Linked DNA regions of Tamandua tetradactyla. The protein of the gene in region 2 binds, or shares a complex with, the protein of the main gene of each other region. Links are inferred from orthologs where the notes say so. Each region holds a gene or a part of one and is shown on either strand. Other genes may lie near its edges.

What was found. Proteins that work in one complex are often made in the same cells at the same time.
Region 1: the proteins of RNASEH2B (region 2) and RNASEH2C are in contact, whole or in part, in a crystal structure (PDB 3PUF), measured with the Homo sapiens proteins. The link is inferred for Tamandua tetradactyla from reciprocal best matches to the Homo sapiens genes RNASEH2B and RNASEH2C. Residues at the interface, in NP_078846.2 of Homo sapiens: Arg14, Gln15, His16, Val17, Phe18, Leu19, Val20, Ser21, Glu22, Leu24, Leu35, Met36, Phe37, Val38, Lys39, Leu52, Glu62, Lys64, Phe66, Glu68, His70, His71, Ser72, Trp73, Phe74, Ile75, Asn76, Gln77, Ser78, Val79; in NP_115569.2 of Homo sapiens: Ile9, His12, Arg13, Val14, His15, Leu16, Ser18, Ala27, Thr28, Leu29, His30, Leu31, Leu32, Pro33, Cys34, Glu35, Val36, Ala37, Val38, Asp39, Gly40, Pro41, Ala42, Pro43, Val44, Gly45, Phe48, Phe63, Val75, Pro77.

What each region holds. Positions count from the first base shown.
Region 1 is NC_135335.1:8,802,212-8,809,301, forward strand, and holds the start of RNASEH2C (ribonuclease H2 subunit C), read left to right. Parts: upstream 1-4,078; 5' UTR 4,079-4,120; coding exon 4,121-4,292; intron 4,293-4,384; coding exon 4,385-4,575; intron 4,576-4,653; coding exon 4,654-4,773; intron 4,774-5,077; coding exon 5,078-5,104; 3' UTR 5,105-5,681; coding exon of another isoform or gene 5,682-5,816; 3' UTR 5,817-5,914; coding exon of another isoform or gene 5,915-5,996; 3' UTR 5,997-6,103; coding exon of another isoform or gene 6,104-6,263; 3' UTR 6,264-7,090. Other genes in the region: histone acetyltransferase KAT5, read right to left, coding at 5,682-5,816, 5,915-5,996, 6,104-6,263.
Region 2 is NC_135330.1:106,847,632-106,854,800, reverse strand, and holds the start of RNASEH2B (ribonuclease H2 subunit B), read left to right. Parts: upstream 1-4,153; 5' UTR 4,154-4,400; coding exon 4,401-4,464; intron 4,465-4,513; exon of another isoform or gene 4,514-4,605; intron 4,606-7,169. UniProt on the Homo sapiens protein: Non catalytic subunit of RNase H2, an endonuclease that specifically degrades the RNA of RNA:DNA hybrids. Participates in DNA replication, possibly by mediating the removal of lagging-strand Okazaki fragment RNA primers during DNA replication.

The DNA.
Region 1 (7,090 bases), on a different chromosome or scaffold from region 2:
AAGTTGTTTCCATGGAGATGTGACCCACCCAATTGTGTGGGGGGGGATGTTTGGATTAGGTGGTTCCTTGGAGCTGTGTCTGCACCCATCGTAGGTAGGGATGCTTACTAGAGTCCTGTAAGATGGCACCATTTTGGAAAAAGCTTTAGAGCCCACACAGCCAAAGACCTTTGGAGATGCAGAAGGAAAACGCCCCTGGGGAAGCCCTTTGAAGAAGCCAGGAGAGAAAGCTAGCAGAGGTGGCCACGTGCCTTCCCAGCTGACAGCTGTTTCAGACCCACTGGTCTTTCTTTAGCATTCTCTAGGGGGCGCAAAGGTAGTTCAGTGGTAGAATTCTCACCTGCCATGTGAGAGACCCAGTTCAGTTTCCGGCCCATGCACTTCCCAAACAAACAAATAAACAAATGTAAAACCAAACCAAACAAAAGTCAACAAATGGTGCTATATGCAATAAGGGGATATTCACATGGAAAAAGAACAAAATGTGACCTCCACCATACAGCATAAAAAAGATATTTTTCTCTGGATGCCTTAGTTTGGACGTTTTAATGGCCTCAGAACTGTAAATGTGCAACTTAATAAATTCCCTTTTTAAAAGCCATTGCATTTCTAGTATATTGCACTCCAGCAGCTTTAACAAACCAAAACAATGGGTGAACCTTGAAAACATTATGCTAAGTGAAAAAGACACACACAGAAAGCCAAATATTATGTTATTCCATTTATCTGAAATATATAGAATTGGAAAATCCAAAGACACAGAGAGTAGACTTATGGTTTCTGGGGGCTGGGGAGGGGGATTGGGGAGAAACTGAGTATGGGATTTCTTTTTGGGTTGTTGAAAATATTCTGGAATTAGGTAATGCAATTGCACAATCTCATAAATATACTAAAAAGCTCTGAGTTGTAAAGTTTAAAGGGGGGGCTAGCATGTGAATTAAATCTCAATAAAAATATATTTTTTAAAATGACAGGGACTTGTTGAATATACAAAGGCAGGGAACTTGAATCCCTCAATGGACAAATCTGGAACAATTTGAGCAACAAAATAAATAATGATAGCAACAGATTAAAACCTGTAGAATAAAATAAATATCCAAGAGCCCATGCTGTTATAAATCCACAGTTGAATAAATATACGGGGAAGAAAGGACAGCTCCAGAATTCCAATTAATAAATACAGACAGAATGTTGGAAATAGAAAATCACCATCAGGCAAACACCATAGCGATAATTGTTTCAAGCAAGAACCACCGATGAATGTCTAAATAAGTGGGTAAAACTTACGAAGAGAAACTGGTTGCATAGGCATCTTCTGATTAAAAAATAAAAAATAGTGGCTTTTCAGAGGAGAAACCTGACACTTACCAAGTGGCCAGGGTTAACACCGCTATTTAATGAATGCAGGGATGTGAGGCATTGACAAGGGCACACTATTGCTTCTATGGTATTCCTGCCATGAATTCCTATCACCGATTATGGGAAAACATCAGACAAACCCCAATTAAGGGACATTTTACAAAAGAACTGGCCAGTGCTCTTCAGCAGTGTCAAGGTCAAAAACTGTCACAGATAGAGGACAAGAGGACATGAAAACTAGATGCAATGTGGGATCCAGAATCAGGACCGGATGCAGGCACAATTCTATAATGTCTACAGATTTAGTTAATGGTATTGTATCAATGCTAATTTCCTGGGTTTGATAATTACACTATAGTTACGTAAGTTGTTACTATTAGGTGAAGCTGGGTGAAGGGTACATGGGAAATCTTTGTTCTATTTTTGCAAGTTTTATGTAAATATAAAAACCATCTCAAACAGAAGCTGAAAAAAATGTGAGACAAGCATTATGTGTAATAGTGAAAGAAGTCGCTCTCAGTTCCACCCTTTAGTTCCAAGATCCTTGTATTCTGACTGAAAGAGAGAAACATACCCATTTTCATAAATGGGAAGAACATCTAGATAGAAGATTAATAAGGAAATAGAAAAGTTGAACACAACTCTAAACCAGCTAGACCTAACAGAGATCTATAGAACATTCCCCTAAGCGCAGCAGAATACACAGGATACTGTTAAGATTTTATTTTATTTCTGTTAAGCCTAAAGAACATCTAGGGCTTGGCTGTGCCCTCAATCCCGAGGCTTACTCTTGTGAAGCTTATGTAGGTAGCGGAGAAGCTTAGACTACCTATAGGCATGCCTCAGCGTTACTTCTGGAGGACCTCTGTTGTTGCTCAGATGTGGCCTAACTCTCTCTAAGTTCAACTCTGCAAGTGACATCATTGCCCTCTCCCCTAGGTAGGACATGACATCCAGGGGTGAAAGTCTCCCTGGCGACATGGGAGACGACTCCCAGGGATGAATCCAGCCCTGGAACTGTGGGATCAACAATTCCATCCTGGCCAAAAGGGGGGAAGAAGTGTCACTAATAAAGTATCAGTGGCAGAGAGAGTTCAAATAGAGTCGAGAGCTACTCAGGAGGTTGCGCTTATGCAAGCTTCAGGTAGCCCTTGCTACCTATCATAACCTGCCAAATCCTAATCAGGACCATTCCAGACAATCCTAAAGAACACCTAGGGCAATATATAAGATTCCACAAGGGTTTCAGGCACTAGAGAAACTTTCCAGAAACCTACAATCTCCAGATGGGTCCCTGGTCCAGATAAGTCCTGAAACCTAGCCCAGCCTCTCCAGAACATCAGATAGTTCCATCTCCCTACCCCATATTAGTGACAGCCCCTTCCAATGTGAAAAAGTTGGAATGGCCATAGCCCAAACACCCCTAAAGAGAGGTATGGAAAGATCAAAGGTGATGGTGGAGTTATACAGTGGAAATAGGATTTAACAAATGAATATGAACGCTGAATCATTCAATTGATATCTCTTAGTCTCCAGTATCTTAGAGCAGCTAGAATTAAAAACCTATGTATTTTTTACAATTACAATTACAATTACAACCCATGTCAAGCTTTGAAATATGTTCTACAACTAATTGTGGTGCAGTGCTTTGAAATTTATTGCTTTTTGGTATGTATGCTATTTTTCACAAAAAAGGAAAAAAAGTAAATTGTAATGATAAAAAAATATTTATGCCTTCTAGCCTCCTATATTCTGAAGCAGCTAGAAGGAAAAATCTGAGAGGATCTTTTGTTAGCCCATGACAAACTATGGGATCTGTCCTTTAACTACTTGTTGAAGAGTGCTTTGAAAACTATTGCTTTTTTATTTCTTTGCTTCGTATATGTTATACTATACAATAAAAAAGTTAAAAAAAACTAGGGTTCTATTACTTTCCTGAAACCTGCAACCTTCAGATGGTTCTTAAACCAGTTAAGTCCTAAAACTCAGAGAAGCCAGCCTCTCCGAACATCAACTAGTTCTATCCCCTATCCCATATTATCAGCACCCATTTCCAACATAAAAAAATTAGAATAGGCATAGACCAAACACCCCTAAACATTCAGAGCAGGATCAAAGGAGGAGGTATAACAGAGAAGGCAGGATTCAACAAATGAGTATAACTGCTGAATCATTATACTGGTATTTCTTTCAGTCTCCAGTGTCTTTTAGCAGCCAAAAGGAAAAACCTAACATTGTAGCACCAAAAACCATACCCAACTCTGAAATCTATTTTATACTCATTACAATACACTTTGAAATTTATTGCTTTTTTGTACATGTTATATTTCACAATAAAAATGTTTTGAAAAAATGAGGCTCCCCACAAAAAAGAAAAAAGTCTTCTGTATAACTAAAATCACCCAAACTCAGGTTTCGAAGACGAACCACAAATTCCAATAAAATATCTTAAATTCATTTGAGGAAGGGTTGCTATTCCTAGTAAGTTAACAGTGAGCAATCCTATACTTCAATATAAAAGGTATACTTTTCGGAATCCTCTTAGTTGTTTATAATGAGCATGTATCATTAAAAGCAAATGAAAGAGAATAAAGGCTGGGACTCGAACTCAAGGGACGGATCCTGCGGAGGCGCCACAAGTAAGGACTACACTTCCCAGCAGGCTCCGCGCTGACCCAACGCGGCCTCCCGAGAGGCTCCGCGCGCTTGACGCGCCAGCTTCGGCCTGGGCGGCGAGCAGCAGGATCGCGGCGGCGGGACAATGGAGAGCAGCGATGAGGCGGTCACCGAGAAGCAGCGCGTCCACGTGCGCCCCACCACGCTCCGCGGCGCAGCCCCCGCCACGCTACACCTACTGCCCTGTGAGGTCCCGCGGAACCGGCCCGCCCCCGTGGGCTGCTTCTTCACGCCCGCGGTCCGCCGGGGCCCGGACGGTGAGCGCTCGGGTTGGACCGCGGCTCCCGGCAGCCCCCGCGCGGCCCCCTGCGTCCGGCTGCAGCTGAGCCCCCACCCCTACCCCCGCCAGGGCTTCAGGTGTCGTTTCGGGGCCGCAGTCTTCGCGGCGAGGAGCTGATGGTGCCGCCCGGCCTCGTGGGATACGTGTTGACGATGGAAGAGGAGAGAGAGGTGTTAACAGGGCTCGAAGGGAAGCAGGACTTCTTGGGGGGTTCGCGGAACGCCGAGGAAGAGGAGCAGGAGCCGCTGGAGCGGGACTTCGTGAGCAAAGGGGGATGGGGCTGGAAGGAGGTGTGGGTGGGGCTGCGGCCGGGAGGCTGAGCCGAGCCCCTTCCCCAGGATCGCTTTATGGGGGCCACCTCCAGTTTCAGCCGTTTTACCCTATGGGGTCTGGAGACCATACCTGGCCCGGATGCTAAAGTGCGTGGGGCCCTGGCGTGGCCAGGCCTGGCTGCAGCGGTGAGTAGAAGGGTGGACCCTCTCCCTCCCGAGCCTCTGAGACCTCGCCTATTCCCCTCCCGTGCCTTACAAAGTTAGAGTCCGGTTGTCCAGCATCTTGCTGCCTTAGTGGATTCGGGTAGCACAATGGGGTAGGTAAAAGTCTGGGCCTCTTAGGCTGGTGAAAGACAGTTTGGCTTCCCTGCCACTCTTTTCTGGCCTATCTAGAAGTAAGTATCATTCCAGGCAGTTGGATCTCTCCCGTAGGTAGGCCACCCAGTCACTGTATTTTAGAAATCCAACCCTGGAGGTGACTCCTTTGCAGATTCATGCACAGGTGTCTGAGGACTGAGAACCAGCGCATGAAATTGAAAGCTGCGGAATCCTTCACTCCAATAAACCAGTTCTTCACTTTGGAGCCACTGATCCCATCAGCCAATAAACCAACTCTTCACAACACCTGTGAGTCTGTGGCACCTCCAAGTCCGAAGCTGGCACAGCCCTCTTCCCCCCAGCACAGGAACCTTTCATGACTCTAACCTTTAGAAACAATTTATTACCAGGGGTGGGGAAACTGGGGCAAGAGAGGCTAGAATTCTGCAGCCTATACCCACCCCAACTTCTACTTTACAAGAGAAATCTTTACACCCAACCAGCCCTCTGAACAGAGGATCCCCCCCACCCCCCATCGCACTATACACAGCTGCCTGGTCCCTGGCTCAGAACAGACTGGGTTTGCAACCAGTTGACCTGGGAGTGGGCCTGAGTGCTCAGCTTGCCTGGTGCTGGGCACCAGCCGGCCCTGTCCTCTCCTTTTGGGGCAGTCAGCCCCATCTCCCTTGAGGTGCCTCTCAGGACCCCATGGAGGCAGGATGGGCTGTTAGCCCCAGTTCTGCCAGCTGTACTGGTGCTGCCACAGCAGTGCCTGGTCACCACTTTCCCCGCTTGCTCCAGTCCTTAGGAGTGAAGTGCAGACACTTGGAATCAATCCGAAGGAGCCGCTTAAGCATAGCCCGTTCGTGCCCATCCACGATGTCCTCTGACAGAGTGAGGATGTACTGGCCCTGGGTAGGGGAGAGAGGCAGACGGGGTCAGCCCACCCTAGGCCTGCACTCTGTGCACCCTATCCCACTCCACCTGTCTCCCCATGCCTGCCCCCTACCTTGTAGTAGTTGATGAGGTTGAGGTACTGCAAGGTGGAGATAACATCCTCCTTCTTGATGCTGGTGATTTCACTAATCTCGCTGTGGGAGGGCAAAGGTCAGGTCCTCTAGGGTCCTCATCTCTGCCCCAGAGGGAGTGAGAAAGCCCAGGGACAGACAGGCCATGCCCTCCCCAGATGCCTGCTTACTTGATGGTTATCTGTGGCCTCTCCCCACTCTCAGACTTCAGGCCCATCAGGATCTCCAGGATGGTCTGGGACCAGTAGCTTCGATAGGACAAGAGTCCAAGATCTGAGAGGGGCTTCTCAGGGGTCCCCGTTTTCCCTTCCACTTTAGAAAGTTCATAGCCTAAAGCAATGGAGTAGGAGAGGGTAAGTGGTCACAGATTAATGCAACCAACATTTAAGAGTATGGTTTGCTGGTATAAACTGCCTTGCCCCATTCCAATCCTGCCACTCGGTACTTCTGTGACCATGGGTAGATTGCTTGTCTGTTGTGTCTGTTTCCTCATAAAGGACTAACACCTATTTCTTTAGTCACCTATTTCTTTGGTCTGTTGTACAATTAATAACAAATGTCAAGTGCTGGCACCTGGCTGTTCCTTTATGGAGCATTCACTTTTCACCCAGGTGCTCAGAAGCCAGTGAGGGCAGAAGGGTGCAAGGTGCAGAGAGAATGGCTTATGGGAAGGAGATGCCATATATTTGCCTTGGGTCATCCCAGACTCCCTGCTGGGTTCGGATATGTGAGGAGGGAAGTGAAGCAGGCCCCCATCCAGAGTCCAGGCCTGAGGATGTTTGAATTCTCAAACCCTCCCCCTAGCTGAGGCCTTGGGAGAGTCTTCTGCTGTCCTAGGGTGGCCTGATTGGCTGGTTGTGAGGACCCACAGAGGAGGAGCACTCTTCTAAGACCAAGGCCATTTCTCCCAGTGATGGCCCTGAACTCTGTAGTAGCCCTTTCCCTTCTACCAGGCTGCGATCTAGGCACTGGGTCCTGAGGCATTTCTGCTGGGCACTGGCAGCCAGCTCCCGAAGAGACCCTCAGACCCTCTGAAGCCAACTGGTTACATATCTTGGCAAGATCTTCCTTCTCCCATGTCAGGGCCCTAGAATGTCTCCACTATCTTTAAAAAGCCTTCCTCACCCTTAGAACCAACCAGTCTCATACTGGACCTA
Region 2 (7,169 bases):
TGTTGTTTTTCTATTTTTCATGGGCAGGCACCAGTAATCAAACCCAGGTCTCCAGAATGGCAGGTGAGAACTCTGCCTGCTGAGGCACCGTGGCTCATCCTCTCATAAGTTTTTAATAATCCATAAGAGAAAAAATAATTTCTCCACTGCTCTTAGTGCGAGCTCTCTCTGCTGAGGCCAGGGCTACTGAGGCCAGGGCTAAAACATTGCTGAAGGTCATTTGGCTCTGAACCCATCCTTCCCCTCCAGCCCCCAGTTCTGGGTTTTTGCTTCGTTTTTCTTTTTGTTTGAAAATGAACATCTCATTGCTCCCAGCATTTAGAAAAGTCTCTATGATTCTCTACTCAGAGGTACTCAGGTTGCTGCTACTGTCTCATTTTCTGGAGAGTGACCTGCTTGTCTCTTTCGCATAAATAAAAATGATTTTATGGAACATTTTAGGATATACTGGACATAATTGATTTGTTCTTGTTTTTAAAACTAGTTAATAACATATGTCCTTGACTATTACCATGACCACCTATCTATCTGCATAAACATTTACTCAAGAAATATTTACTGAGCACCTGCTCTGGGCCCAGACAGTTTTGTCCCAGGCACTGGGTCACTGAGGAGGGGGGCTGACTAAGAGCCAGTCTCTGGAATCCCCTGCCATTCGCTAATTGTGCTCTGTTGAGCGATTACTTGATTATTTATCAACTTTACACTCTTTCTCAGTAAAAATGTGGGTGATCATACTAATATTTCCCCACAGGGCTGATGGGGGATGGAAAGAGATAATCCAAGTTGAGTGCTAGCACTAGTATGAGCCAATTTTATTTTCTGAGGATAAAGGGATGAATGATTAAGTGGTGTCCTTATCTCAAGGGACGAGGGCCTGGTGGTAGAGCCTGCAGGGCAATTACTCATTCCTAGGGGAGGGTGCTAGAGGGGTACTGATGGGTGAGGGACAGTTGTCCAGAAGGTAGTGCCAGAACAGGGAGGCAAGTAGAGTGCTCAGAGCACCAGGCATGGGGGACGCAATGCCAAGTGTTGGATGCAGGCAGCTCTTATGGCTGTGGGCGGGGTGTGCGTGAAGAAGGCCTTGGCAGCTGTGGCCAGGTATTTAAAGCTTAGCACCTTGGACTTGAACTAGAGGACAGAGGGACCTAGCATCAATTTCCACACCACCACTGCACCCCCTTTCAAGAAGATACTTAACTATTCTAGAGGCTACTCTTACACAAACTTCAGTTAGATGTTGCTAATTGCTACATTTTGCCAAACCCCAAACAAGACCATTCCTGTTAACCCTAAAGAACACCTAGGGCTTTATCTGAGATTCTACAAAAGTTTCACATGCTAAAAGATTACTTTCCAGAAGCCTACAACCTCCAGATGGGTTCTGAGGTCAGATAAGTCCTGCAACCCAGAGGGACCAGCCTCTCTAAGAACACCAACTAATTCCATCCCCCCATTCCACATCGTGGACACCCTCCTTCAACATGAAAAAGTTAGAATGGGCATAGCCCAAATACCCCTAAAGACTGGGAGAAGGATCACAGGAGAAGGAGGAGTTAAACCAGAGAAAATAGGAATTAACAAATGAATATGATTGCTGAATCATTATATTGCTATTTCTTTTTAAGTCTCCAGTATCTTGGAGAAGCTAGAAGGACAAACTTGAACTCGTGGAACTATTACCTACACCAGGCTCTGAAATCTGTTCTATAACTACTTGTTAAATTGTACCTTGAAATTTATTGCTTTTTTGTATATATATTTCACAATAAAAAATGTTTTAAAAAAAGAAGATATTAAGTCATTAAAAAACAAAACATCTCTCTCTCAGCCAACAGAGCAAGCAAACTCACCACCTTCCCCCTTTCTATGTGGGACATGACTCCCAGAGGTGTAAACCTCCCTGCCAACATGGGACAGAAATCCTAGAAAGAGCTGGGACTCAGCATCAAGGGATTGAGAAAACCTTCTTGACTGAAAGGGGGAAGAGAGAAATTAGACAAAATAAAGTGCCAGTGGCTGAGAGATTTCAAACAGGTCGAGAGGTTATCCTAGAGGTTATTCTTAAGCAATATATAGATATCCCCTTTTTAGTATAAGTATAGTAGAGTAGCTGGAGGGAAGTGCCTGAAACCATAGAGCTGTGTTCCAGTAGCCACGCTTCTTGAAGATGACTATATAAAGATACAGTTTTCGCAATGTGACTGTGTGATTGTGAAAACCTTGTGTCTGATGCTCCTTTTATCTATGGTATGGACAGACGAGAAAAACATATGGAATAAAAATGAATGCATAATAGGCAGAACAAATGTTAAATTGAGTAGATTGAAAAACAAAAAAATGGGACAAAAGAAAGTTGTATGGATGTTTGCTGCACCACTTAAAAAAAAAAATCTGTGTCTTTGGATCGACTCTCATTCATAGTGAATGAGAGTCTCATTTCATACTGATTATGAGAGTCTCATTTCATACCATAGTGAGGTGTCCCTGGGGGTCCTGACCCCTCTTTATTGTCTTAACCCCACCCTTCAGCCTTACCCACACTCCCTGCATTTTAAAGACACACATTTTCTATGTATTTGAGACATGGCCTTAACTATGCACATATCCTGGGAAAATATGTAGTGCTCTATGTATGTGTTTCTACTTTACCTATGTGGTCATCTGCTAAAAATCTTTTTTCTCTCTCAATAGAAAGCATCCACATGGCTACATGTACATCTTGCCTATAGCTTTGAATGCTTTAATATGTATGTCCATACATAATATACATTCAAGCTTTATTTATAATAAACATCTGCAATAACCGTGGTACATAACCAGTACGACATAGCACATCCATTAGCGGTGATTTTTCTGAATACAATGGGAAAAATGTTTATGACAGTGAAAGACAAAGCAGGCTAAATTGTCTTTCCACTGTGAAAACATTCACATAAAAGAACATATTCATACAGCCACAGGCTGGAAAGGATCAGAGAAAAAAACGAAACCAGCTCCGGAGAGCCAGGGCATGAGGAAGGGTTGTTGTCCGTTCTGGTGATGTTGTGCCTTTCAATTCAGCCTATACCACGGCTTTTCAGATAGTTTAATTTGGGGGGTGAGGGGTCAAGGTAATAGTTTAATTTGGGGGGTGAGGGGTCAAGGTAATAGTTTAATTTGGGGGGTGAGGGGTCAAGGTAATATCTGCCCCACCCCTCACCCCGCAGCCAGGAAGACTCCCTCTGCACCAGGGATGTCCTACACTCAACTTCAGCTGCATCTGTCTCAACCCCACTGCAAACAGTATTGAAGTTAAAAATCTGTTCCGATGGCTGAGATGGATCTGACAAATTTAACCATCTTCAGAATTAAACAAACAACAAAAAAGCAAAATGCATGAATTGTGGATGTTTCTCTTTCATTTTATGCAAAAATCAAACCACCCGGAGCTTGAGTTGACACGGAAAAACTGGGAGAATAATCAAGAACTACTAACAAGAACTGCCTCTGGGGAGGGGTATTACGGATCTGGAGTAAGAGAAAAATATACTTTTCTGTGAAGTATCAAAGAAATAATTTTCTTTCCCTTTTTTTTTTTTGAACCACGTACCAATCCTTACCTTTTCAATTAAAATTTTATTTGTGCGTTTAATATCTAAGTATCACGGCCTTAGCTTTTTTAGAAACCGCTTTAAATTTTTTTCCGTTTAATTCATGGCAAATAGTCTTCCCCTAAAGCAAACAGATTCATATTCTGAGATCTCAATTGCGCGCCTCTTTTAGCCGATGGAACTAAGTCCCAGTGGAGGACCCGCTTCCCATATTTTGTAAGTTCAGGTGCACACCGCAGCCTGGCATTAATTCCAGCGCAGAAAAAATCCGAACACCCGTCTAGGAGTTCCTTCACGACTGGGACGCGACAGCTACTGTCCCAACATGGGCTGGCTCCAGGCTGTCGGGCCCAGGCCCGGGGCTCCCGCGCGGGGTGCCCTGCCCCAAGGGTGCGGGAGTGGAGTGGGGGGAGAGGACACCTCGCCCGCGCCGATCACCAGGCGAGGGGAAAGGGCCGCCCAGTGGGGCGCCCCAGGCCAGGCCGCCGCGACCCCACCCCCGCCGCACCCGCGTCGCCGCGTCACTGCGCCCTCAGGGCGCGCACCTCGGCGTCTACCGCTGTCCCGGGAGCGGAAGGGGAGGCCCCGCGCACCGCCGCCATGGTCGCCGCGGTCGCCTGGGCCCGGCGCTAAATTCAAAACCCAGGCGGAGGCCCGGCTGCGCCCCGGCGGCTGGTTGGCTCCGGAAGCGGAACGCCGCGGGCCGCGCGCGCCACCCCCTCGGCGTCCGCAGTAGGCCGTTCTCCCGCCACTGGCGGCTCCCGAGCCCCGGCCCGCGAGCCCAGGGCCCCGGGAGCAGCGCGCGGCATGGCGGCGGGCGGGGAATACGGGGACGCGGGGCGCGCGCGCCAGTACGTCTTCCTGCTCCCAGGTAAACGCGGCCGCCCGGCCCTCCCCACCAACCCCTCTTCCCCGCAAACCTGCCGGGGCTCCGGGCGGGCCTGGGCACGTGGGAGCGGCACGGCCTTCCCTCGGGGACGCACTTCTCGTCTTGCTCTAGCCAGAAGCTGGCGTCTCAGGCGGGCTCCTTATGCACCGGTGGGCGGGAGGGCTGGGCCCGGCCTGCAGAGGGCTGGGTGGCTTCGGGGTCCCGGGGCGCGCTGCCTTGGGGGATAACTGGGTACCCACCACCGCGCTCGGCAGTTGGCCCGGCGTCCCGGGTCCGTGTCGGGTCCTGAGATCCAACAGGCCCGGAGTTGCCTGCGAAGACGGGCCAGGGACAACTGAGGTGTGAGATCAGTTTGGGGCGTAAAGGAAGGTGGCGGCAGCTAGGACAAGGGGGAGCTCTCAGCGACTCGGGCAACGGTGACCACTAGGCTGCCTGCGCCGGACCCAGCGATACAGGGCGTGCGGGGAACTGGGGCCAGGGCCACTCCGTTGCGACCCGAGAAAGCCCCAACCCGATAAGCTACCGAGTCAGAGGTAGTGGTTAGAGAGTGTGAGGCAGAAAGGTTTGGCTTTTGTATAGGATATGTTTAATGGTGTGACATTGGAAAGAAGGGCAATCTGCTGTTGACCGTATTTGTGAGATTTAGCGTAGAAAAATGCAGTGAGTACAGCGTGCAGTTTAGGTGGTTAATGAATGGTGTGTTGACACATTCCCCTCAAACTAGTAGCTGTTCTCAGCCACCGGAGTTCCAGGCCCACCGGTCGCCAGAGATTGGGGTCAGCTGAAATGTGTACCCCTTTGCCTCTGGTTTTTTCCACTCAAAATTGTGAGGTCCATCCATGTTGGGTGGGGAAGTGGTTTGGTTTGGCTTTGTGGTTTTGCTTTCGGGTGTATCTCATTGTCCAAATATGCATACTGTCTCTTCTCCAGTATTCTACATACTGCCGAACAGTTTCCAAAGTGGTTGTACCAATTTACACTCCCGCCACCCGTGAGTGAGTGAGCCTTCCTGTGGTGCCCTGTGCTCCCTAGAGATGCTTGTATAGTAAAATAGTGTGAAATTCAAGATTTCAGCTTAATTCTGCCAAAGGGCTACTTTTCTACATGCTTTACATTAGAAAAATCCTCCCTTCTCACTTCCGCCACATCAGTGCAATTGGATTTAAAGGTTATGAACTCTAATCACTCTTTCAGAATGCAATATAGGGTTATCATTCAGATCCCCGTACTGAGGGTAATTTGAGTCTTTTATTCTGTTCTGTTTTACTCAGCATTAACAGCTTCATTCTTTTTTTTTTTTTTTTTTTTTTTTTTTTTTTTTTAAAGAGAGAGGGAGGAAGGGAAGGAAAGACAGAGAGAAGGAAGGAAGGATGGAAGGAAGAAAGGGAAACATCTTTTAAACATTTTCTTGTTTTATTATATTTTGTTTGTTTGTTTGTTTGTTTCTTACATGGGCTGGGGCCGGGAATCGAACCGGGGTCCTCCGGCATAGCAGGCAAGCACTCTTGCCCGCTGAGCCACCGCGGCCCGCCCAACAGCTTCATTCTTGAAGTGTGTTTGCAGCCTCACTGTATTTAAATGCCTAAGACCCTAAATATCAATCAAATCCTGACAGTTGTAGGTTTAAAATGTCCACTGCTGTGCTGTGAGGAGAATTTCAGCCCTGTTCTTGTTCAGAGCTATAAGGAACTGTGACCTTAGGGCGGCCTAAGCCGCTGGTAAAGAACTGATGAAGAAAATAACTGATGAGGAAACTAAAGGGTCGGTCAGGCCGGTTCTGGAACAGTGAAAGTGGGCAGGGCTCTAACCTGTCATCCTTCTGGCTGGCCTTCAGTGCCACCTGCAGGCTCCCAGGGTAAGTCCACAAGCATGCTTCTGTGGCTCCTGCTGTGGAACAGCCGTTCTCAGGCTTGGGAGTATCAGAAAACCCAGGGGAGTCCGGCCCCACCCCGGAGGGTTGGATTCACTAGGTCGGGGTGGGCCCGAGAATGAGCATTTCTCACAAGTTCCCAGATACTCCCGATGCTGTGGGTCAGGTGTCCTGGGAACTAGGACCGGAAGGCCCCAGGTTTAACTTGGGACGTAGGACTTCGGTTTAGGATTCAGGTTTAGCATTGGGAGGTAAGGTTTAGCTTTGGGTTTGGGATTCAGGTTTAGGACGGGGAGATTGGTTGAGCTGTCTGTCTTGGGCCAGAATTTTCGAGGGGGGAGAGTTCCCATAAGCACGGGGTGTGGAGCCTGAATTCACAGAGGTATTGGTCATTTTCCCCCACACTCCCCACAGGTGGGAAGTCAATGCAGTTAGTCACCCAAGAGGAAGAGTGAACACCATAGTGTGGGGGGGAGGGGCTTAGTAAGAAAAGAGTTCATATAGAATTTTTCAGAATTATTTGATGGAGGCTCCATCTTAGAAAACTTCTGGGATATGAAGGGCTTACTCTGTATACTGATAAGTGAGCACATTGCCAACAGGCCAATAGAACATTGAAGATATTTATATCGGAAACTGAAGTAAAGTCACCTGACTTTGCCATGAGACTTTTCCAACATTTAATTCACATTTTTCATCAAGTTGCCTACCATGTGCATTGTGTTATATCTTGAAGAATGTATTAAAAAATACGATTTAGATCTCTTACTCTCTGGTTTTCCTTATCTCTGGCAAAGCTGAATATACTAGATAAACA